Linked DNA regions of Canis lupus familiaris. The main gene of each other region encodes a partner of the protein of the gene in region 2 in a complex. Links are inferred from orthologs where the notes say so. Each region holds a gene or a part of one and is shown on either strand. Other genes may lie near its edges.

The links.
Region 1: the proteins of KRAS (region 2) and RGL1 are in contact, whole or in part, in a crystal structure (PDB 7SCX), measured with the Homo sapiens proteins. The link is inferred for Canis lupus familiaris from reciprocal best matches to the Homo sapiens genes KRAS and RGL1. Residues at the interface, in NP_001356715.1 of Homo sapiens: Ile24, Gln25, Glu31, Asp33, Pro34, Thr35, Ile36, Glu37, Asp38, Ser39, Tyr40, Arg41, Leu56, Tyr64, Met67; in NP_001284600.1 of Homo sapiens: Ile651, Arg653, Asn660, Gly661, Asn662, Met663, Tyr664, Lys665, Ser666, Ile667, Met668, Lys685, Asn687.
Region 3: the proteins of KRAS (region 2) and SOS1 are in contact, whole or in part, in a crystal structure (PDB 8BE4), measured with the Homo sapiens proteins. The link is inferred for Canis lupus familiaris from reciprocal best matches to the Homo sapiens genes KRAS and SOS1. Residues at the interface, in NP_001356715.1 of Homo sapiens: Ser17, Ala18, Ile21, Gln25, Asp30, Glu31, Tyr32, Pro34, Thr35, Glu37, Tyr40, Asp54, Ile55, Leu56, Asp57, Thr58, Ala59, Gly60, Gln61, Glu63, Tyr64, Ser65, Ala66, Met67, Arg68, Asp69, Gln70, Tyr71, Arg73, His95; in NP_005624.2 of Homo sapiens: Lys602, Trp809, Thr810, Lys814, Leu822, Met824, Ile825, Arg826, Thr828, Thr829, Thr832, Leu833, Leu872, Val875, Ser876, Asn879, Ser880, Ser881, Pro882, Tyr884, Ser908, Asp910, His911, Tyr912, Lys913, Phe929, Phe930, Gly931, Ile932, Leu934.
Region 4: the proteins of KRAS (region 2) and RGL2 are in contact, whole or in part, in a crystal structure (PDB 8B69), measured with the Homo sapiens proteins. The link is inferred for Canis lupus familiaris from reciprocal best matches to the Homo sapiens genes KRAS and RGL2. Residues at the interface, in NP_001356715.1 of Homo sapiens: Ile24, Gln25, His27, Val29, Glu31, Asp33, Pro34, Thr35, Ile36, Glu37, Asp38, Ser39, Tyr40, Arg41, Lys42, Tyr64; in NP_004752.1 of Homo sapiens: Ile651, Arg653, Glu660, Asp661, Gly662, Ser663, Val664, Tyr665, Lys666, Ser667, Ile668, Leu669, Lys685, Lys686, Asn688, Arg689.
Region 5: the proteins of KRAS (region 2) and MAPKAP1 are in contact, whole or in part, in a crystal structure (PDB 7LC1), measured with the Homo sapiens proteins. The link is inferred for Canis lupus familiaris from reciprocal best matches to the Homo sapiens genes KRAS and MAPKAP1. Residues at the interface, in NP_001356715.1 of Homo sapiens: Ile21, His27, Val29, Glu31, Asp33, Pro34, Ile36, Glu37, Asp38, Ser39, Tyr40, Arg41, Leu56, Glu62, Glu63, Tyr64, Ser65, Ala66, Met67, Asp69, Gln70; in NP_001006618.1 of Homo sapiens: Phe280, His287, Gly288, Phe289, Ser290, Leu291, Ile292, Gln293, Lys307, Lys310, Arg311, Arg312, Lys313, Gly314, Ser315, Phe363, Glu365, Ile369, Val374, Met377, Leu378, Ser380, His381, Tyr484, Glu487, Ser488.

What each region holds. Positions count from the first base shown.
Region 1 is NC_049228.1:17,072,928-17,076,435, forward strand, and holds part of RGL1 (ral guanine nucleotide dissociation stimulator-like 1), read left to right. Parts: intron 1-1,285; coding exon 1,286-1,410; intron 1,411-2,787; coding exon 2,788-3,003; intron 3,004-3,508. UniProt on the Homo sapiens protein: Probable guanine nucleotide exchange factor.
Region 2 is NC_049248.1:24,281,366-24,285,435, reverse strand, and holds the start of KRAS (GTPase KRas), read left to right. Parts: upstream 1-1,269; 5' UTR 1,270-1,412; intron 1,413-4,070. UniProt on the Homo sapiens protein: Ras proteins bind GDP/GTP and possess intrinsic GTPase activity. Plays an important role in the regulation of cell proliferation.
Region 3 is NC_049238.1:31,306,588-31,310,886, forward strand, and holds the start of SOS1 (son of sevenless homolog 1), read right to left. Parts: upstream 2,802-4,299; 5' UTR 2,727-2,801; coding exon 2,640-2,726; intron 1-2,639.
Region 4 is NC_049233.1:2,891,190-2,895,353, forward strand, and holds the start of RGL2 (ral guanine nucleotide dissociation stimulator-like 2), read right to left. Parts: upstream 2,808-4,164; 5' UTR 2,647-2,807; intron 2,440-2,646; 5' UTR 2,399-2,439; coding exon 2,240-2,398; intron 1,032-2,239; coding exon 948-1,031; intron 713-947; coding exon 534-712; intron 404-533; coding exon 353-403; intron 264-352; coding exon 1-263. UniProt on the Homo sapiens protein: Probable guanine nucleotide exchange factor. Putative effector of Ras and/or Rap. Associates with the GTP-bound form of Rap 1A and H-Ras in vitro.
Region 5 is NC_049230.1:57,531,855-57,535,964, reverse strand, and holds the start of MAPKAP1 (target of rapamycin complex 2 subunit MAPKAP1), read right to left. Parts: upstream 2,803-4,110; 5' UTR 2,528-2,802; intron 1-2,527. UniProt on the Homo sapiens protein: Component of the mechanistic target of rapamycin complex 2 (mTORC2), which transduces signals from growth factors to pathways involved in proliferation, cytoskeletal organization, lipogenesis and anabolic output.

The DNA.
Region 1 (3,508 bases), on a different chromosome or scaffold from region 2:
AGAGAGAGAGAGAGAGAGAGAGAGGCAGAGACACAGGCAGAGGGAGAAGCAGGCTCCATGCACCGGGAGCCCGACGTGGGATTCGATCCCGGGTCTCCAGGATCGCGCCCTGGGCCAAAGGCAGGCACCAAACCGCTGCGCCACCCAGGGATCCCAAAATTTTTTTTTAAGATTTTATTTATTTATTCATGAGAGACACACAGAGAGAGGCAGAGACACAGGCAGAGGGAGAAACAGACTCCATGCAGGGAGCCCAACGTGGGACTTCGATCCCGGGTCTCCAGGATCACACCCTGGGCTGAAGCATTCTCTAGTAACAACACTGATTTAAGTTTCCACTAAGATGTAACTGAATGCAACTACATGTTGGGGTTTTTGTTTGTTTGTTTGTTTGTTTGTTTGTTTTGAGAACAGATTTGACAGGAGAGCAGGGAGTGTGAAGGGGATGAGGTTGGGGGATGAGGTTGGAACCCCAAGAATCAGGAAAGGTTCCAGGTTCCATTTGCTGGGGTGCAAATGCAATTTCATCCATTCTACCATCTTTCAGAATGGAGTCTGGAGTTCCTGTTTCGTGTGCTGAGTCCTTCAGCTTTTGGGTTGAAATCCAGATGGTTATTAAAGTGATCTTTTTTTCTCACTTCTTCAGTCTCTGCCCTGTGTGATTTGCTAATGGTGGAGCTTATCTATAATAAGGCTCAGGTGAATTTAGCTTCAGGCTCTTCTGCTTCACCCATACTTAACTTGAGGTGGGAAACCGAAAGCTGCCCCAAACATCTTGAGAATTCCAAGGACTTTCTTAGAATTCTGAGGACTTCATCGGCACTCCTGACACCCAGAGGGTGCATTCTACTTCCCCAAAGCCTTGTTTCATTCCCATTCCTTCCAGGTTTCTGGTTATAAACGGCCAGTCATTAAAAATTGCATCATTGGGGCTTAGGAAGTGGCTTGATTAGTCTTTACACCAAGCAGAGGTAGGAGGGGAGCCCAAGATGAGAGAAACCCCCAGAATGTAGCCTGACTTTGCCTAATCCATCTCTGTCCCTGGCCTAAGAATCTGGTTTATCAAAGGGTAACATGAGTCCTCTGAACTTAATAAAGAATCTCCAAACAGAGATGAAGCAGAGCTCCATTTCCCTCAGATTAATTGTGCTAATCATTTCTTCCCATGGGTTTTTAGAAGGATTCGCCATCTTCTTTCTCAGTGAAAGAAGTTCACTTTGACTCTACTAACAAGGTCATAAACACTGGCACCAAAGTACTCATTTTTTTCCCCTTCTGTGAGCAGATGGGTTTCCCAACACCATCTTCTTCAGCCTGGAAGAGGAAGAGGAACTGGAAGGTGGAGGGCCTGCAGAATTCACGTGCTTCCCAGAAGATCTCGTGGCGGAGCAGCTGACCTATATGGACGCAGTATGTATTCTTTCTGTGCCTGAGATGTGCTTCTACTTAAAATGTGGGGACTGACCATACCAGTGGCCTGGGGAGGGCAGTGGGGTAATGTGATTTAAGTCTTTTCTAATCCTTGAGAGAGGCTGTGCCTGTAAATGCAGAGAGAAGATGTGACTTGAATCAATCATCTGAATAATTCAGGCCTAAGCTCTCCTTGCAATTCTGGGGGAAGGTGCTTTTTTACTTGGCACTCGATACACGGAGGGAAGTAAGAATTCTAATTCTCGTGAAACAAAATCGACCCTGTTCCGTGGGTTTTTCTCTGCCTCTAGACTCATAAATATTTCAAGATCTGAACTGTTTATTTGGAGGATTGTAAAGCGGTCAAAGTATAAGTTAGGATAAAATAAGATCGCTGAATCCACATGTGACTCTATCTGCCAGTTCATTCCTATGTGTGCTCCCATGCTTTTAAAGTTTGAATATGTTTGTTAGCCATACAAATTTGATTAGTCACATGTCATAGTGCAATGGTAGCTGGTTAACACCAGTTAAAGAAAAGAGGGCCATTATAGATCATCCTGATGCTTTTAGCTCTTCTTCACTTACCGCTTTTGAAGAAAACAGAAGAGAGAGTGACAGTTTCCATCTAGTGAGCACACAAACTATCAGAAGCAAATCAGAGAGTCTACATAAAGTAAATCCTGGTGTTCTCTCTTCCATACAAACCCTTACATGTCTTGTATTGAGTTGTCATACAGATGAGAATCAGATTTGACCAACGAATTTGCCTTTGTTTTTGTTCCACAACTGACAGCATGAAAGAAAGGTAGGAAACTTCATTGGATGACTTTTAGGCAAAGACAGGCTATAAATTCCTTTCTTCCTTTTACTCTGTGACATTGAATGGGTTTTCCCTTTATATGCTTATTTTTTTTCATTTAAAATCATGTAAAATAGCAACATGATGACGATGTCACATGCACTGTACTTCTTTGGGTCACTTGTCGGGTGGTCATTGGGCATCCATACGCATCGTACACAGTTCATGATCTTGAGTGCCCAGAATGCACCATGAATATGAACCACTACTATAGATTTGTACCTGTTTTTTGAGATATAAGTCAAAATGTTGTCAGTCATTTAAAATGGTCTTTTGGCCATTGTGTTCCATTTGTTCAGTCCAGCAGATTTAGAAGGAACATGTGGGCTTTTCTGACCAGTTAATATATTAATTATTTACTCCTGTCCATTGAAATAGACACGGTTGAGGCAAGTCAAGTAGAAAAGGGTTGTTTGTGCATTTACAAAATATCAATTCACAGATGAGCCAGATGACATGCTTTGCTGAATGAAATGTCTGCGTGGTCCTTAAAGTCAGTTTCTCTTTTGTTCTAGCAACTATTCAAGAAAGTAGTGCCTCACCACTGCCTGGGCTGCATTTGGTCTCGAAGAGATAAGAAGGAGAACAAACATTTGGCTCCTACAATCCGTGCTACCATCTCTCAGTTTAACACGCTCACCAAGTGTGTTGTCAGCACCATACTGGGGGGCAAAGAACTCAAAACTCAGCAGAGAGCCAAAGTCATCGAGAAGTGGATCAACATTGCCCACGTAATTGTCTTTTTAAAAATATTCGTTGTTTTTATACTAGATAGTAGAGACTACTCCATCTCTCTGTTTAAATGGGTCTATGCAGTCAGTGGCAAGGCAATCAAATCATATGTGAACGACCATTGGGTTTTTTGTTGCTCTTATTGTTGTTCCTCCAAAGTAAGAAAAAAAAAATGCCTCTCTTAACTTAGGGGCTTCTTTTTCCTCTTTAAAGAAAATTGGTCCCTTGCATGCTTCTTCTTTCTGCTTACGGGCCTGCACACTGCTGTGTCTCCAGCACAGCGTCTGCTTTTCCCCTTATATTCACAAACTGAGTGTCAATTCTGCCTACGTTCAGTAAATTGAACTTGATATATTGTCTAAGTGTCAGATAGACTCTTCCACACAATGATTACCTACCTATGCACACTTCCAGCACCCAGAAGCGTTGTATCTTCTACAGATTTAAAGAGCTGGTGCTGTCTCAGAATCCTGAATCTCTTTGCTAAAGGACTGAGATGCACAG
Region 2 (4,070 bases):
AGAGAGAGAGAGAACTGCAAGTAGAGATTCAGCTAGGTGGTCCTATTAGGTACAGACGCTGGTCGGCCAGGCCTCGGTCTTCATTTTTTTATTCATGATAGACATAGAGAGAGAGGCAGAGACACAGGCAGAGGGAGAAGCAGGCTCCATGCAGGGAGCCCGACGCAGGACTCGATCCCGGGACCCCAGGATCACGCCCTGAGCCAAAAGGCAGGCGCTAAACCCCTGAGCTCCCCAGGGATCCCCCAGGCCTCGGTCTTTTAAAACCCACCCCAACAATTTACCTTTCTAGGTAGTTTATCAGACTCCGGGATATGGCAGCAGTTTTAATTGCTCCGTTGTTGAGCGTGTTAACTCCCTGCACGTTACCCGATTAATCTGGGGTCTTCTCCCAGGTCTAAACTATCACGGGGCTCTTCTACTTGAACAGTTTGTCTGGTCTGTGCCGTCAGGGGCAGTAGGCACCTTTGAGGTCGCTGCCTAGAACGACCTGTGATGACTTGGAAACCTCCCTAAAGACAACAACAGAAAAGCAACAGACCTCCTCCCGGGGAAAGCCTGTGTCACGCCCGCTCGGGCTTGGGGCTGGGGCTGGGGAGCCCCCCGGGTGCGGAGGCTGGTGCACCCCCAGGCGAGCGGCGGCGTGGACTAGTCCCGCGCGGGGGAGCTGTCTGCCGGATGTCAGGGTCCCTAAGTGCCCGGAGTCGCCTCCCACAGTTGCTCCCCGCATGTTTATTTACTTGCTCGACCGGCGGTAACTGAACGCGCCCGAGTGCGGCGGGCGGCGGCCTCCTCGCGGCTTCTCCGCGTGCTCCCGAAGGGCGTGCGGCGGGGTCGCTCCCCGCGGGCTCCCGGCGCGTGCAGGCCCCCCGCCCCCCGCCCCCCGGCCGGTGCGGATCTGCGGCCGCAGTCCCGGGGCGGGCCGCCGCGTGGGTGCCGCCCAGACCGCCGAGGCTGCGCCGGCCCGGCTCCCCCGCCCCCCGCCGCCCGCCGCCCGCCGGCGCGGCCCCTCCTCCTCCTCCCCTCCTCCTCCTCCTCCTCCTCCTCCTCCTCCTCCCCGGCGGCGCTCGCGGGCTCCCTCTCTTCCCTCTTCCCACACCGCCCTCAGCCGCTCCCTCCCCGCACGCCGGTCTGGCGAGGAATCGAGCGCCGCGCGCATCGATGGTCCTGCCCTCTGCGGCCGCCAGGCCCCGAACCCATCGGTGAGCTCGGAGCTCGATTTCCCTAGGCGGCGGCCGCGGCGGCGGAGGCACAGCGGCGGCGGCGGCGGCGGCGGCGGCGGCGGCGGCGGTGGCGGCTGCCCGGCCAGTACTCCCGGCCCCCGCCATTTCGGACGGGGAGCTAGCGCGGCGCGGGCACTGAAGGCGGCGGCGGGGGCCAGAGGCTCGGCGGCTCCCAGGTGCGGGAGAGAGGTACGGCGCGGACCACCCCTCCCGGGCCCCTGCCCCGGTCCCGACCCTCCTCGCCGGCGCCGGGCGGGGCCGGCGGCGAGTGAATGAATTAGGGGTCCCCGGAGGGGCGGGGCGGGGAGGGGGCGCGGGCGCGGGCGCGGGGCCCCGGCGGGCGGGCGGGCGGGCGGGGCGGGGGCGTCTGCAGGGGGAGGCGCGGGGGCGCGGGGACGCGGCGACGCGGGGAATGAGGAATGGGCGGTGCGGGGCTGAGCAGGGTGAGGCTGGAGGCGGCCGCCGCCGGGGCTGCTTCCTGGACGGGGAACCCCTTCCTTCCTCCTCCCCGAGAGCCGCGGCCGGAGGCGGCCGGGTGCGGAGAAACTCGCGGGCTGGGCGGGCTGCCCCTCGGGGCGGCCGGGTGCGGTGGAGGTTACTCCCGATGCTCTCCAGGCTCCCCTCCCCCTCGTCCTCTCTCTCTCTCTCTCTCTCCCTCTCCCTTCGCTCCCGCACCTCTTCCTCCCTTCCCAGCCCTCGGCTGCCTCGGTTACTGCCTCCTCCTCTGCTGCATCGAGCATCTCTAGGACGGAGGCATAAACTTCTCCCTCGAGCGCAGACCGGACGGATAGTGGTCCTTTTCAGAGTATAGGGTGGGTATGGGAGTAATAGGAGAAGGTCACGTTTCGGAAGAGCCGAGGAAAGTGCTGAGGAGACCACTGTTGGTGGTTATTGTGTTTGGAAAAAAAAAAAAAAAAATGCATCTGCAGCCGAGTTCCTGACTGCTCCCCTCCCCCATGTATGGGCTGTGACATTGCTGTGGCCACAAAGGAGGAGGTGGAGGTAGAGATGGTGGTGGAAGAACAGGTGGCCAACACCCTGCAACGTAAAGCCCGTGACTTCGTGAAAAGGAAAAAGTTAATCCCAGAAGGTCTGTTTTGCTTTGTCAAGTTAAAACACACACACACACACACACACACACACACACACACACACACACAAAACCCGCAGAGCAGAAACAGGGCTTTTTCCTTGCTAGTTGAGTGTAGACAGCAATAGCTAGAATCCTACTTAAAGTTTAATTTGCCTGTTCTTGTCCTTTCCCGTGTCTCTTGTATATTACCTTTGTCCTCACAAATTTGACCCCCATCCCAAGAAGTACTACTAAATGGCACTCACACACATTTTTTTTTGTTTTTTTAAATTGACTTGCAAAGAGGACTTAATTGTAGCAGTCTCCCAGCCAACTGCCTGAAATACTCTTAAGCATGTGTATGCTCTAGCAGAAGTCCTAAGCTACCTTCTTAAGTCTTGGCATTTATCAAAATAAGAGTTAAAGCAGAAAGGTACTTTCTGATTTTTATACAATATACATGTTATATTTGTAGTGGGGAAAAAAAATCATTTACATAGAAATTACAAAGGGAAAAATTCTGTTCCTAATCATCATCTCAGAATCAACCATATGAGTGATGTCACTCTTAGGTGACTAAGGTCCAACGTGCTGACTCGACCATATGATAGACTATAGACACCAAATACGGTTGATATCAATACTGTTTACTTTGAGACTGTAGACATCCACAGCCATACTTGATTTTAAGAGACTGTAGATGAGAGGATAATTCAGTTTTATGATTCAAGTGACTTTCTTTTTCCTGTAACAAAACACTGGGTTCTAGTCCCACTTTACCCCTCTGTAGCTATGGGTGAGGGCGGCTCTTTCTGGGCTATGATCTTCAGTAAGACTCCGTGGGAACCCAGTTCTGTCTAGTGGATTTAAATATTATTTGGTTTCTAAAATCCAATACAGGGATTTTTTTTTTTTTCTTCCCCAGAAACAACGGCTGCATAAACAGGTAGACACCAGAAGGTGTGTGTCTCTCAGAATTCACACAGTTAAGCTCTAGTCTGGCATCTGTCCACAGTATCTCCTAGGCTATCAAACTTTTTAGTTGAAAGGACACCTTATACTCTTGAAAATTATTGAAGATCCCCATATGGGGTGTGTCGATACGTACCCTAATACAAATTAAAACTGAGAATTAAAAAAATTGGTTAATTCATTTAAAAATAGAAATAATAAGCCTATTACTTGGTAACATAATAGCATTTTTATGAAAACGGTTTTTCAAAACAGAATAGTGGCATTGTTTCACATTTTTGCTAATTTCTTTAACTATATTGCTTAATAGAAGACATCTGTATATCTGGTTCTGTGTTCACTGTATTGTGATCACGCCTGGAAAACTCTGCACTTGTGCAAAGAGTGGAAAGGGTAAATAACATTGTGGTAGTAATAGTATTGTTACTATTAGTGTGGTTTTGACCTCTTGGACCCCCAAAAGTTTTAGTAATGCTACTGGATTCTCTTGGATGACAGTTTGATTAACTACTGTTCTAGGCTATCCAAATTGTTGAGGGGGAAGGATAGGCAGAGAGGTGGCGTACATTTTGGTGTGATTCTTCTCATTGTTCCCCATTTCCTATGGCCTGTTGGAATAAAAAGTGGGAGTGAACAGGATAAGATACATGCTTGTAGAGGCTCCCATGATGGCCTAGCACATAAGGCTAGGTGGCACAGAATAGGCCACGGAGCTGTAATATAACAATTGTGTAGCCTAACTGTTCTTTGTGAGAAGACTAAAATAGCTTAAGGAGGTAACGGTTAATATGTTATCATTTGGA
Region 3 (4,299 bases), on a different chromosome or scaffold from region 2:
CTGGGTATGGGGAGGAATAGTAAAAGAGAGAAGTAAGAGATGATTCCAAAGTTTTGAACCAAATAAAATAATAAAGCCCTAATCAAGAGGAATTTTTTAAATAGTCAGTGTAAGGGAGAGAGGTGACGGTTTTAGTTTGGGTATTCCCTCACCCATTTAGCCAAATTATGTGCCTACTAGATAAGTATCAGGCACTGAATGTGTGAAGGGTAAAAAGAGGGGTAAAATACCATTCCTATTCTCAAGGACCATCCAATCTAGTCCTGGGATGGGGGAGATGGCTAAATAGGAACTCACAACTCACTGAAGTGCTAGGGTTTGCTGCTAAAAGAAAATAAAGACTATCCAACTCAGCCCTGAGGATTTGAGAAAACACCTGAGTTAGTGTTGGCCAGGCAAAGGGCAGTCCAGGTTAAGAGAATAACATAACAACAGAGCCTCAGGTAAGAAAACACAAGTTGGGCACTTGTTTCTGCAAACAGTAAAATAAGTCTAAAGGAAGAGTTCAAAATAGGGAGCTATCCACATGAAATGTCTAGCAAGCAGGTGAAAATGCAGGTCTGAGCTGCCAGGAGTGCATCCAGATATGCAATAGATTTTCAACCTCATCTTAGGTGGCTTAGAGTCAAGAGCAGAGGCTATCTCAAATAAGAATTGGAAGAATCTTTACTTATCAGCTAGATTGTGTACACTTCCACCTCCCCCCATCACTTCTGTCATGCAAGGTTATCTCTGCTTCAAGTCAAAGCAGGTTTATGTAAATAGGCAACGAGGACCGGTGGGGACTGTGAAAAATTGGAGATGCATGCCCAGTCTAAAGAGGAAAGCCATTCACTCAGCTCCAGCAGTTTACGGTCTTGCCCAGTGGGGAGAGACCTTCCTATTCTTCAAGAAAAACTGAAAATTCAGATTTTACGTAACATCTCCCACGTTTAAATACTGGCAACTAATTACATTAAAAGTTTGTAAAAGAACACTGTGCCAGCCAAACAAAATGCTTCTATGGAAAATGCTTCAGCAAGGGCCACCAGTGTGGCAGTTAGACTTGATCTGCCAACTCCTACAGTGCTCTTTCCATTACTTCACAGTACCCTCAACTAACAGACTATCTTGATGGTTCCCTGGGACAGGAGTTGTTTGCTCCTAAGCCAAACAGCCCCAAACAGATTGGGTTTTATGAGTTCTTCTGTATGTTCTCAACAATGTCTCTGTCTCCTCCCCACTCCACCCCCACCTCCATCAGTACCAGGCTTCTATCATGACTGAGACCTCCTACTCCCCTCTTATAAGCTAAGACACCAAGATTACAGGTAAAGTAAAAAGAGTTGAGAGCCCTGATGGGATAGCTAATGAATACGGTATATAAGGAATATGGCATCTCTCTGGTTTTCTTAGAAAACAGTATCACAGAGATGCCTATTACTTACTCAGACACTTAAGGAAAAGAGTCAGTAACTTATATCTGAAAAAAATGAGCAAATTCGGCTAACTAAATAGTTTCCACTGTAAGCTTCCAAGGAGCTGTTGGGGGGGGGGGGGGGGGAGTGCTGCGTAGGGCAAAAGGGAAAGTAAAAGTTGCTGGCCTTTGGGAAACATCAGGCACCTTTTAAGACACAGTTTTTAAAAGTATAAATGTTTAGAACAAAAGGTACACCACAATCTCAACTCTCAGTAGGAGCAAAAATATTTTTAATAACATAAAAAACATTTTTTGAGCAACAAGAAATTGGGATTAAGCAACACTACTAAAGTAATCTATTTATAGAAAAGGTAAAAGGGAAACAAAAAAACACCGTTTTTATGTTCAAACACATCAGTTTCTGACGCTTTGGTGTTTGTCACAATGTTGCTTTAGAAGCTTTTAAAGTGTAGCAACAATTCCTAAATGTACTAAAACATTTTAAAAGCACAGATCATGGAGTGTACAACTTTAGATAACAATGTGGCAAACTTGAAAAAATACAGAAAGGCTGAAAATCCAAATTAACAAAGCAAGATAGAATGAAGATTCTCGGACGCTGGGGGGGGGGTGGGGGTGGGGGTTGGGGAGGGAGTAGCCTGTGCACCCGCCCCTGTTCCCCGGGGCAGTGGGGGAATCCGGGGGAATGAAGAGTGATTACAGAGGGCGAGCAGAGCAGGCCGTGTTCCGGCTGGCAGGCGAGCTCTGCAATTACCCAGAGCCAGCGGTGTGGCTAGAGCGTTCTCGAGCCCACCGAAAACAGCACACTGGACACCTAAAACTGGAGGCTGACAGCAGTTCCCCGGGCAAGACGGACAAGGCGGAAAAGTGGCCTGCTTTGACCTCCGCTGCAAGCTGAGCCTCCCCCAACTCCTGCCTGCGAGTCGGGGGGGCAGGACAGTCACCTCTCCGAGGCTGGATGATTCGGACAAACTCTGCCTGGCTTCCCGAGGCCTTCCCACACACCCGGTGAATGTCAACAGCGAGCCGGCGAGCGTGGGGGAAGCCTCCCAGGCCGGGAAGAAAGACGGCCCAGCGCGCGCCCCGCCTCCCCGGCCCGGCCCTTCCCCGGCCCTTCCCCGGCCCTTCCCCGGCCCTTCCCCGGCCCTTCCCCGGCCGCGGCCCCGCGCCCTCGCAGGGGCTGCAAGCCGGGAAGCAGGGTCCCGCGCGCGCTCCTCACCTTCTTCAGCGCCGGCACCAGCAGCCCCCGCCACTTGGGTGCGTTCTCCTCGCTGAAGAACTCGTACGGCAGCTGCTGCGCCTGCATGGTGCCCCCGGGGCGCCTCTGGGCGGGGAGAGGGGCGGCGGCGGCCGGGCCGGGGAGCCGCGAGAGGGCGAGCTCGCAGCACCCAACAGGCCCGCGGCCCCGCCGGACGGCCCGGCCCCCTCGGGGCGCCGCGCGGCCGGGCTAGCCCCGCAGAGGCGGCTGACGGGCGAGGCCCGCGCCCGGCCAGCCACCCGACACGGGCACCCGCGGCGGACAGCGAACGCAGCCCGGAGGCGGCGGCGGCGGCATCCCGCACCACCGCCCCGGGGCCGGGCCCCCCCCGCCCCTCCCCGGCCCGCCGGCGCCGCCCCGGGCTGCCCTCCGCCGCGGCCGCCGCCCGCCGGGGCTACGCTCCCGGGCCCGGCCTGGCCCCGCGGCGCGGCCGGCGGCTGGGGGAGGGCGTGTGGAGGGACACTCCGGCCGCGGCGCCCGCTCCGCGCGGCGGGGACCCCGAAACGCAAGCGGCCCGGGGCGGAGCGGGGCCGGGGCGGAGCGGGGGAGGGGAAAGGCCCGAGGTCGTCGTCGGAGGATCCGGCTGCCCGGAGGTGCCGCCGCCGACGCCGGTGTAGCGCTCCAGCTTCCTACTAGCGAACTGAACCTGCTCGCTACTGAGCATGCGCCGCCCGGCGGGGCCGGTTCGCTCCGGGTTTTCCGGCTCCCCAGCGGAGGAGGAGGGAAGCGCGGGAGGGGGGGCGCCCCCGAGGACTGCAGGGGAGGAGCCAAACGGCCCCGAGGCGTCGAACCCTGGCCTGCGGGGTGGGGTGCGAGCTACCGCGAAGCAACCCCCATTGTGTGCTTGGGTCGCGAGGGCTCCCACCTCTCGGGAGTCCCCGGGCCTTTAGTTTCGGAAAGGGGCGTGTGTGTGTGTGTGTGTGTGTGTGTGTGTGTGTGTGTGTACTTTGTTCCTGAACATGAAGACCTGCCCAGGGCATGCAATGTATAGTAAACAGACTGGACAAAAGATAGGTGCTTTTCTCACGAAACCTACTGCTCGATATTTGTCGGGTAATAGAAGTGATTGCAGTATTTCCCATACGTCTCCCCACCCCCGACCCCAAGATTTATCACCAAGAATAAAATGCGTACCTGCAGCGTAGATTTTGCGTGTGCGTTTTGAGTTCAATATGTTCATCTTTCAAAGCCACTTAAATTTGAACGCCTTTGAATAAATTATTTATTTAAGGTGATTCTTAAAGAATCACCTCCGTGGAAACAGACCTCTTTCGCAGCTCCCAGGTCCCAGAACGTGGGGCACTTGGTTTATCTGTTTTGTAATCTCTCCTGGCTCTCTGAACTAGATAGCAAACTCCTGCAAGGCAGATCTTTTGCACCACGGGCTCTACACAGAATAGGCACTTAGTGAATGTTTGGGGAGCGCTAAAGGAGCATTATCTACAAACTGTTCATCTCAGGGATGCAGGTGTTTAACAACGGCACTGTGTGGCTGGCCCTCACGGTTTACCATTAAGTGCTTTTTGAGCACAATCTCGTTTAATACTCATAGCAATCCCATTGTATTCATTTCACAGATGAGACAGTTTAGAGAACTAGCTTTGGTTAAAGTTGATACTGG
Region 4 (4,164 bases), on a different chromosome or scaffold from region 2:
CAGCGAGGAACACCAGGACATCCGTGGGGTCAGCAGGGGGATCGCCGGGGAGGGCCAGGGGCTTAGGAAGGTCGGGGGCCTGGGGGTCCACCCGGAACCGGAGGTTGCGGATGAGGTCAGCGCTGCCCCCCCCAACACCCTCCCCTGCTGCATACCCTGTCCGAAGCAAGAAGCTCTCAAGCCGGTCAAGCTGGCCCTTGACCTCAGAGCCAAAATCCTCAGGGTGAGAGGCCAGCCAGGTTGACAGTACAGAGGTGGCTACCCTGGGAGAAGGGGAATCAGCCAGGGGTCAGCTATCAAGCTGCAGCTCAGCCAGAGGGGACTGTGAGGTTAACAATCAGCGGTCACTCACCCTATTGTCCTCTCTAGTTCATCAGTAGGATGAGATTCGAGGGCTTCCAGCCTAGGAAGGAGAAGAGATTCGATCTGCCCATTTTCCCCAAGCCCCCAGTGGCTTTGACTATTCTGGGGGGATTTTCTGGCTTTAAGAAGTCCAGACACCTCCATGATCCTTGGTCCCTTATGACCCTGACCTGTCAGCCACAAGCCCTAGCAGGGCAGGGGTGGAAGTGAAGGCCCTGTGGGTGGCCAGGAAAGCTGGTGTGAAGGTCACGTCAGCCCCTGATGTCCGGGCATCCAGCAGGTGTCTGACCAGGGCCTCCAGAGTGCCAGCTCGGAGCCTTCTGGAGGACCGAGGGGGAGGCGTCGGGGCCTGGGGGAGACAGAAGGAAAGTCACTGACCCTGTTTTCAACTTAGCCCCTAGACCTCTGGGGAAAATCCCAGACTCAGGAAATGCTGGGGGCTCGTTATACGAAGATTCAGAGACGGCCAAAAACTTGATTGACCAAAGTCACACGGCAGAGTTCAGGTCTCCAAAGAGTTGGCCAGAGGACAGGAGACTGGGAGGTCATGGGTCAGAGGTGAGAAGCCAAAGTTAGGATCTCACCAAGGGATCAAGAGGCCGATACTGGCGGCTTGTGACAGTAAAGGTGGCACCATTCTCCTCCTCATCCCAGACAGACACAGGGGCCTGGCAGAGCAAGGAAGGGGAGGTGAGACAGTCCCACGCCACCCCCTACTGCCCCCAGCCCTAATCCTCCCTCTGTACCCCTCACCTGTGGTGGCGGGGAACAGTACCAGCGAGTGCGAGGGGTGGGGGGGGCTGGTGACCCCAGGTCTCCCCCACTGGGGCCTAGACAGCCCCCCCCAAGCCGCCTCAGGGCCCGGTGGAGTCGAGGGGGTGGCAGTGGGGGGGTGGGTGGAATGCAGGAACCCTGGGCCCGGAGACCTCTGTCGCCCTTTCCCCCCAGAGCTGAACCCCAACACAGCAGAGAAGCAAGGTGCGAAGGATAGGAGGGGGAAGCGAGAAAGGCAGAAAGCCAGAGGCAGAGGCCTTGAAAGCTGGAACCTCAGTCACGGGCACAGCCGCAAGCTCCGCCCTCCCCCGCAGGAACTGACCGAGCCCCAAGAGTTACTCCTTCAGGGGAGCCCCCCTTCCCTGGTCCCTCAGTGCTGGGAGACCCCCTCAAGGTGGCGGCTCCAATGCCAGTACAGGAAGGAGAAGGGGAAGTCGGGATGATGGGGAGGGGGGTTGTGCAGCCGACTCAGGGTCACGTGGCCCCAGCCCCTCCCGCAACCGATCCCGAAAAACCAGCCCTGCCAGTCACCCTGCCCTCACCCAGGCTCTGGACCCAGGAGTCCTGGGCCTCGGGGCCCCGAATCCAATTTCTGGCCCCTTCTGGGGCCCCGGATCCCGCTCCTGGCCACCACCATTAGTCCCGGCGGAGAGCAGGTGACCCCCCCGGCCCAGCCTGGGATGTTCCCTCCAAAGTCCGAGAACCCGGGCTTCCCGCCTCCACTCGCGGCCCAGCGGGAGAGGGGGAGGGGTCACGAAATCGAAGGGTTCCCTCCCCAATCCCGGAGTCGGAGAGGCCGGTTACTGTGGAAACAAACCCCACCCCGCCAAACAAAAACACGGAGGGCGACGGGGACCGAGACACGACGGCCGGAAAGGCTGGCGCCCTGGGGCCGGGGCGGGGAGAGCCAGGGAAGGTTCCCGCGGGCCAGTGCTGAGTCCCACCGCCAGCGGGAGCCCCAGGAACTCCGGGACTCCCCGCCGGGCCGACTGGCAGACACCCAGCAGGAGGCCGGAGGGAGAGAGGAGGGACAGAGACCCGAGGGCGAGGCAGAGCGTCTCCGACATGTCCACCTCCCGACTTCCCACCACTCGCGTCTCACCTCGTCTTCTTCCTCCTCCTCCTCTTCCTCCTGCCCCCCGCCCACGCCCCGGCCACCTGGGCCCCCACCCTCTTCGGGGTCTCGGCTCCGGAAGCTGCTCAGCACGACTCCCCCGGGGGGACTCGCGTCCCAAAGCAGCCGCAGGGGCCGCGGGAGCATGGCCGAGTGAAGGAATCAGCGGGGTCGGGCCATGGGGGCGCCTGGGGAGAAACGGGGGGGCAGGTGGAGAGTCAGGTGGGCGCGGGGGATCGGGGAGGGGAGGGACGCGGGTGAGTGCCCAGGTGACCGTACGGGAGTTTGGGGAGGGAAGCAACACAGGAGTGGGCTATGGGGGTCCCTGGTGCATCTGGGGTTTGGGGGTCACGAGTACGGGAACGGGCAGGGTCACAGGGTGCTCAGGCTCTGACCTGCTCGGGAACGGTGGGAGCAGCGCGGGTCCCGGGCCGCTGTTCCCGTCGGTCTCCGGTCCCCAACCGAGTCCCTGGCCCGAGTCCCCTCCTCGGCTTTTCCGCACCCCCGTTACCGCCCGCCAGGCTCCCGGGCCCTCCCGCCCTTTCCGCTCGCCCCCTCCCCCCCCCACGTCCGCCTGCTCCAACTGCAGGAGCCAAAACGGGAAGGAAGTGAGGACAGGAGCCAGGGCCGCGGACTCGGGGAGCGCCGGGCGCCCAGCGGCCAGGCCCCAGCAGTCACGGGCCCCCGCCCGCTGTCCTCGGAGCCCCCGCTCAGGGATCCTGGAGCCCACGCCGCCCCGCACTCAATCCGAGTGGATTCCCGTCTCCCGACCCCGAGGGAGGATAGGAGCCGGATTTGACATTCCCCTGCCCCCCGACAACACCGAAGCTAAAACTCCCGGGGGAAGCGTTTTAGGCCGACAGGGATCGCTTACTCCCCCTGACGCGGTTACACTCCCCACCCGCACCCACGCCTGTAGCGGACCGGAATCCAGTCCGCGTTTTCCGAGAAGCGCGGGGTTCCCGCCCTCGCGTAAGGGGGCGGGGCAGGAAGCCGCCACTTCCGGTTCTCGGTTCCTCTGTCCCGCGTTTCCGGCGCTCTGCGTGGTACGTGCGCTCCCTTGGGCTCGCCCCGCCTTCCCCGGAGCCCGCGGCACCGGGCGTCTCGCCCGCCGCTGGTGGCCCCCGACCCTGCAGCGTGCCGGGGACTGGGGTGTCGCCAAAGCGTTTGAGCGCTCGCGGTGAGGGCAGCCCGGGTGGCTCAGCGGTTTAGCGCCGCCTTCAGCTCAGGCCCTGATCCTGGAGTCCGGGGATCGAGTCCTGCATCGGGCTCCCTGCGAGGAGCCTGCTTCTCCCTCTGCCTGTGTCTCTGCCTCTCTGTGTCTCATGAATCAATAAATAAAATCTTTAAAAAAAAAAAAAAAAGAGAAGGGACCAGAGGTGGTTGTTAAGAGCCTGTGCTCCCTTGCCAGGGGGACCCGTGGGGTGGAAGGAGACACCCTGTTGGGAGCATAGGACACAACTTTATTCCCGCACGATTAATTTTTTTTTTTTTTTTATTTATGATAGTCACAGAGAGAGACAGAGAGAGAGGCAGAGACATAGGCAGAGGGAGAAGCAGGCTCCATGCAGGGAGCCTGACATGGGATTCGATCCCGGGTCTCCAGGATCGTGCCCTGGGCCAAAGGCAGGCGCTAAACCGCTGCGCCACCCAGGGATCCCTATTCCCGCACGATTAGACCCGCTTCGGTCTAATTGACCGTCCTCCCTTGGAGGTCCCTAGTCCGAGCTGCCACTTCCTTCCTCCAGTAGTTACTTCGTCCAACACTGGCTTTCAAATACAGAGGACGAAAAAAGGACTAATGTTTGCGTTGAGCGCCCTCCAGCGGGCACCGGGCCTGTGCGGGAGCAGGGACCACGCGGCGGACGGACGGACACGTTCCTGCCTCTGAGGAACCGGCAGTCCCGGGAGCG
Region 5 (4,110 bases), on a different chromosome or scaffold from region 2:
AGCTCATTAAATATTCACAACACTCCATGAGATCAATATTATCCCCCTATACCAACCCATACTTGAAGAAAATAATGACTGGAATTAAGAAACTTGCCAAAGGTCAAGGAATAAGAGTAGGGACAGGAATTAAATCCAGAGACCACGTTATTCTCTATAGAAGGTCTTCCATTCTTATATTGAAAGTTGAACTGACCCACCTACTACCTTCTCGCCTTGAAAGATCACAGTTTTCTCTACATTTAAAAGACTCTTCTGGGGGAGGGGGGATCCCTGGATGGCTCAGTGGTTTAGCGCCTGCCTTTGGCCCAGGGCACAGTCCTGGAGACCCGGGATCGAGACCCATGTCAGGTCCCTGCATGGAGCCTGCCTCTCCCTCTGCCTGTGTCTCTCTGCCTCTCTCTATATATATATCTATCATGAATAAATAAATAAAAATCTTTATTAAAAAAAAAAAAAAAAAAGACTCTCGGGAAGCCCTGGTGGCTCAGCAGTTTAGCGCTGCCTTCAGCCCAGGGCCTGATTCTGGAGATCTGGGATCGAGTCCCACATCAGGCTCCCTGCACGGAGCCTGCTTCTCTCTCTGCCTGTGTCTCCACCTCTCTCTCTCTCTCTCTCTGTCTCTCATGAATAAAATAAAAAATCTTTAAAAATAATAAATAATAATAATAATAATAAAATAAAAGACTCTCTGTAACATTCATTTTGGCATTCATATTTTTTCTCTTTTATAGTTTCTTCAATATATACTTGTATATAGTGTTATGGTGTGTGAAAGAAGGAAACACATAATGAAAAATGCACAGATGTAGGCATGGGACAGACGTGGGGTTAAATCCTGCCTGTCTCGTACCAAATGTGTAATTTATCCCGAATCTTCCTAATCTGTAAATTGAGGCTAAAATGATTAAGAGAAACCTAAATATAGTTTCAGCACATGGTAAATAACCACATCATGAAGCATTACCTGATCATAGCACACTCCTCGAAAGTTAATACCCCCCCTCACCCCCATGCTATCACTGCATCACAGAAAGTACCTTCACACAGTGTACTTATCACTGTCTTGAAATTATTTCCTTATCTCTCTCACTAAATTGAGCTCCCCACAGGCAAGGACTGAGTCTTACTTATCCATACATTGTCTAGCATGGTACCTGGTGCATGTGTATGTGTTCAGTAAATGTTTGCTAAGTGAAATTATTATAGATATGAGTATTTATAGGATTCCAAAAAAGAAATCTTTCCCAACTGGGGTTGTCTCAAATTGGTGGAGGGAGACCAATTTCTGCTGGGCCCTAGGTAACATCTCAATGAGTAGAAACAAAAGGAGAAATCTAGGCAAGGAGAATGTCCTACAAAAAAACAATGGACAAAGAGAAAACAAATGGGATCTGAGGTGCTACTTATCTAGAGTAAAGGATCAGGGTATAGAATTAAGGAAGGGGACTTTTTCAAGCATAGCTGGAGCCACATCAAGAGGCGTAGAATGTGAGTAGCCTGGCACCACAGTGATTGAAAGTAGATATGAGCATAAAGCTAAATGACAAAGGGGCCACAAGCATGCCTCGCAGGCCCCAGCAAGTGTGTAAACTGAAAAAGATGAACACAATAATCAATGTTCATCAAGAATTCTTTCAGCATTGACTAAGCACCTTGTATGGGCTCACCGAATGAGGAATAAAACATGGTGCCAACTTTTCCTGTTATACTAGGATTTTAAATGAACAATCCACCCCTTTTACTTGTGAGACATAGAATGAGAATGTTGACTTTGTTTGAACTGCCATGTGTTAAGACCTGTCTCCATTTGTTCACATCTGGGAAGCTTTGAACTTCGATGGTTTTGGTTTAAAACATGATGCTTCGCACCGTGCCAAGTACTGTATGGAACAGGCTTCAAAAATTAGGTGCATTCATTCCAAATAAAATCTCAACCAATTTCTGAGTCAACTTTTGAGTCTCCAGTTAAAAGTAATAATCTTGTTTAAACTACTTTTTTGTTTTTTGTTTGTTCGTTTAGCCTTAACCAGATTTAGAAGACCCCTTTGCCATTCTCATAAAAAGCTGAATCCAAGTTCCAGCAGCACTCCAGCTAGAAATAAAAAATAAAAAAAAAAAAAAAAGTGTTGCGAGGCCGCTTACTCCTTTGGGACAATTGTGGAAAAGGAACGCTAAGGAAACAGGGACCACAGAGACAATGCTTTAAACACAATTTTCATGTTACGAAGATTAGGACAACTACATGTTGCCAGGTGGTAGGACCAGAAACTGTCAGAGCCAACCCTCCCCCCCACCCAACACTACCCAGTCCACGGGCTTCTCCTCCCCCAATCAGACACCCAAGCTGTCAGGCTCACAGCAGCCTCCAGTTCTGGAAAAGATCAGGAAACGGATGCTCAATGAAGCCCTGATCAAGGGCCAGGCAGGCTACCGACGCAGGGCAGCGCCCAGAAGGGCCGCTTGGCTCCTCGGGTAGGTTGACCCGAGAGTGAGCGAGGAAGCTAGCGGCTGGGGCAACCTTTACCTGAAGCTGCTGCCACACTACGGGTCGGATCGGCCCGGGGATACGTTCCTGAGGGAAGGGCCCGGCTTCCCCGCGCCTCCCGGTCCCTGCCCCGGCCTCCGCACTCTCGGAATCCTCGGGGACTGGCGCTCCTCCCCGCCGGTTCAACTGCCGTTTTTCTGGCTCGCCCTCATGCCCCCGTCGCTCGCCGCCGCCGCCACCAACGCCGCCGCCGGAGCAGCAACCCTGTTGCCCCAAGTCGCGCCACGACCCGGAACCGCACCCCGCGCACCGGAAGTCCCCGACCGGGAAGAAGCCGGAGCTGGGGACGTAGTGCGCAGTGCGCAAGCCCCAGAGCCGACGGCTCGGAGAGGAGCCCTCCCGGGGGGCGGGGCCGAGCGGGACGTGGTGGTACGCATGCGCGGCCCTTCTGCGGTCGGTGTGAGGCCGGGGTCGGAGCTTGCGAGCTGGGGATGCGGCGGGACGCGCTGATCCGTGGATTCGCGTCGGATAGGGATCAGCATTGGGGTTCGCGCTCACATTTCCTTGGTTCTGCATGGAAAGAAGCCCTCAACCCATCCAGAAATGAGTGATGAGACAGCTCCGCCTCTAGGTCACGAAGACTTGGGTTCAAATGCCAACCGCACCTTGTGTAGCCTCGGAAAGACCCCTGTCCTGGCTGTCGGTTGTGTCATCCGGACAGTAGTTCCGATTTTATTTATTTTTTTTTTAAATATTTTATTTATTTATTCATGAGAGACACAGACTGAGAGATTGAGAGAGAGGCAGAGACACAGGCAGAGGGAGAAGCAGGCTCCATGCCTGGAGCCTGATGTGGGACTTGATCCCGGGACTCCAGGATCACACCCTGGACCAAAGGCAGGTGCCAAACCGCTAAGCCACCCAGGGTTCCCCAGTAGTTCCGATTTTAGAGTATTCCTGTGAGAATCGAATGGGACGATACTTGTAAAGCATTTAGCACAGTGCCCGACGTAAACACCTAGTAAGAATGTTAGTTGTTACCTCTATTATCTGTAAAATGGGAATAACTATCTTCCTCAAGAACTGCAGGGAAGTGATTGTGTGTGTGTGTGTGTGTGTGTCGTCTATATTTCAATATTTCAAATTTCAATATTTCAGATTTCTATATTTCAAAAATGAAAAAAATTTTTTTTTTTTTTTTAAAGAACTGAAGGGAGGTTTCCATGAGCTAAGAGGACTGGCACAGAACAGGAGCTCGCTGTTGGCCTTGTGTCTCCTGACAGAATGGTTGGAGGAAGACACCGTGAAGGGGAAAGAAAGACCCGGGTTGTGCAATATGATCTCTCTCCTAAGAGATGGCCTAGAAAGCCTCTCAAAAATGCACCTTGGCAAAAAGAAAAAGGGGAGGGAGGAGGCCCCAGGGCAACATCACACAACATTGAAGTCACCAACAAATACTCCACATATCCTCCCCCATGTTTTCAAATATGTGATTGATCTCTTAGCTCATACAGGAAAAAAAAAAAACAACCACAACCACCTTGACACCCAAATGCTCTTTTGCACACACAACGCCACAGTTCCACTGGGGACCTGTTGGAGGTGCTCTGCGAAAGCAAAGT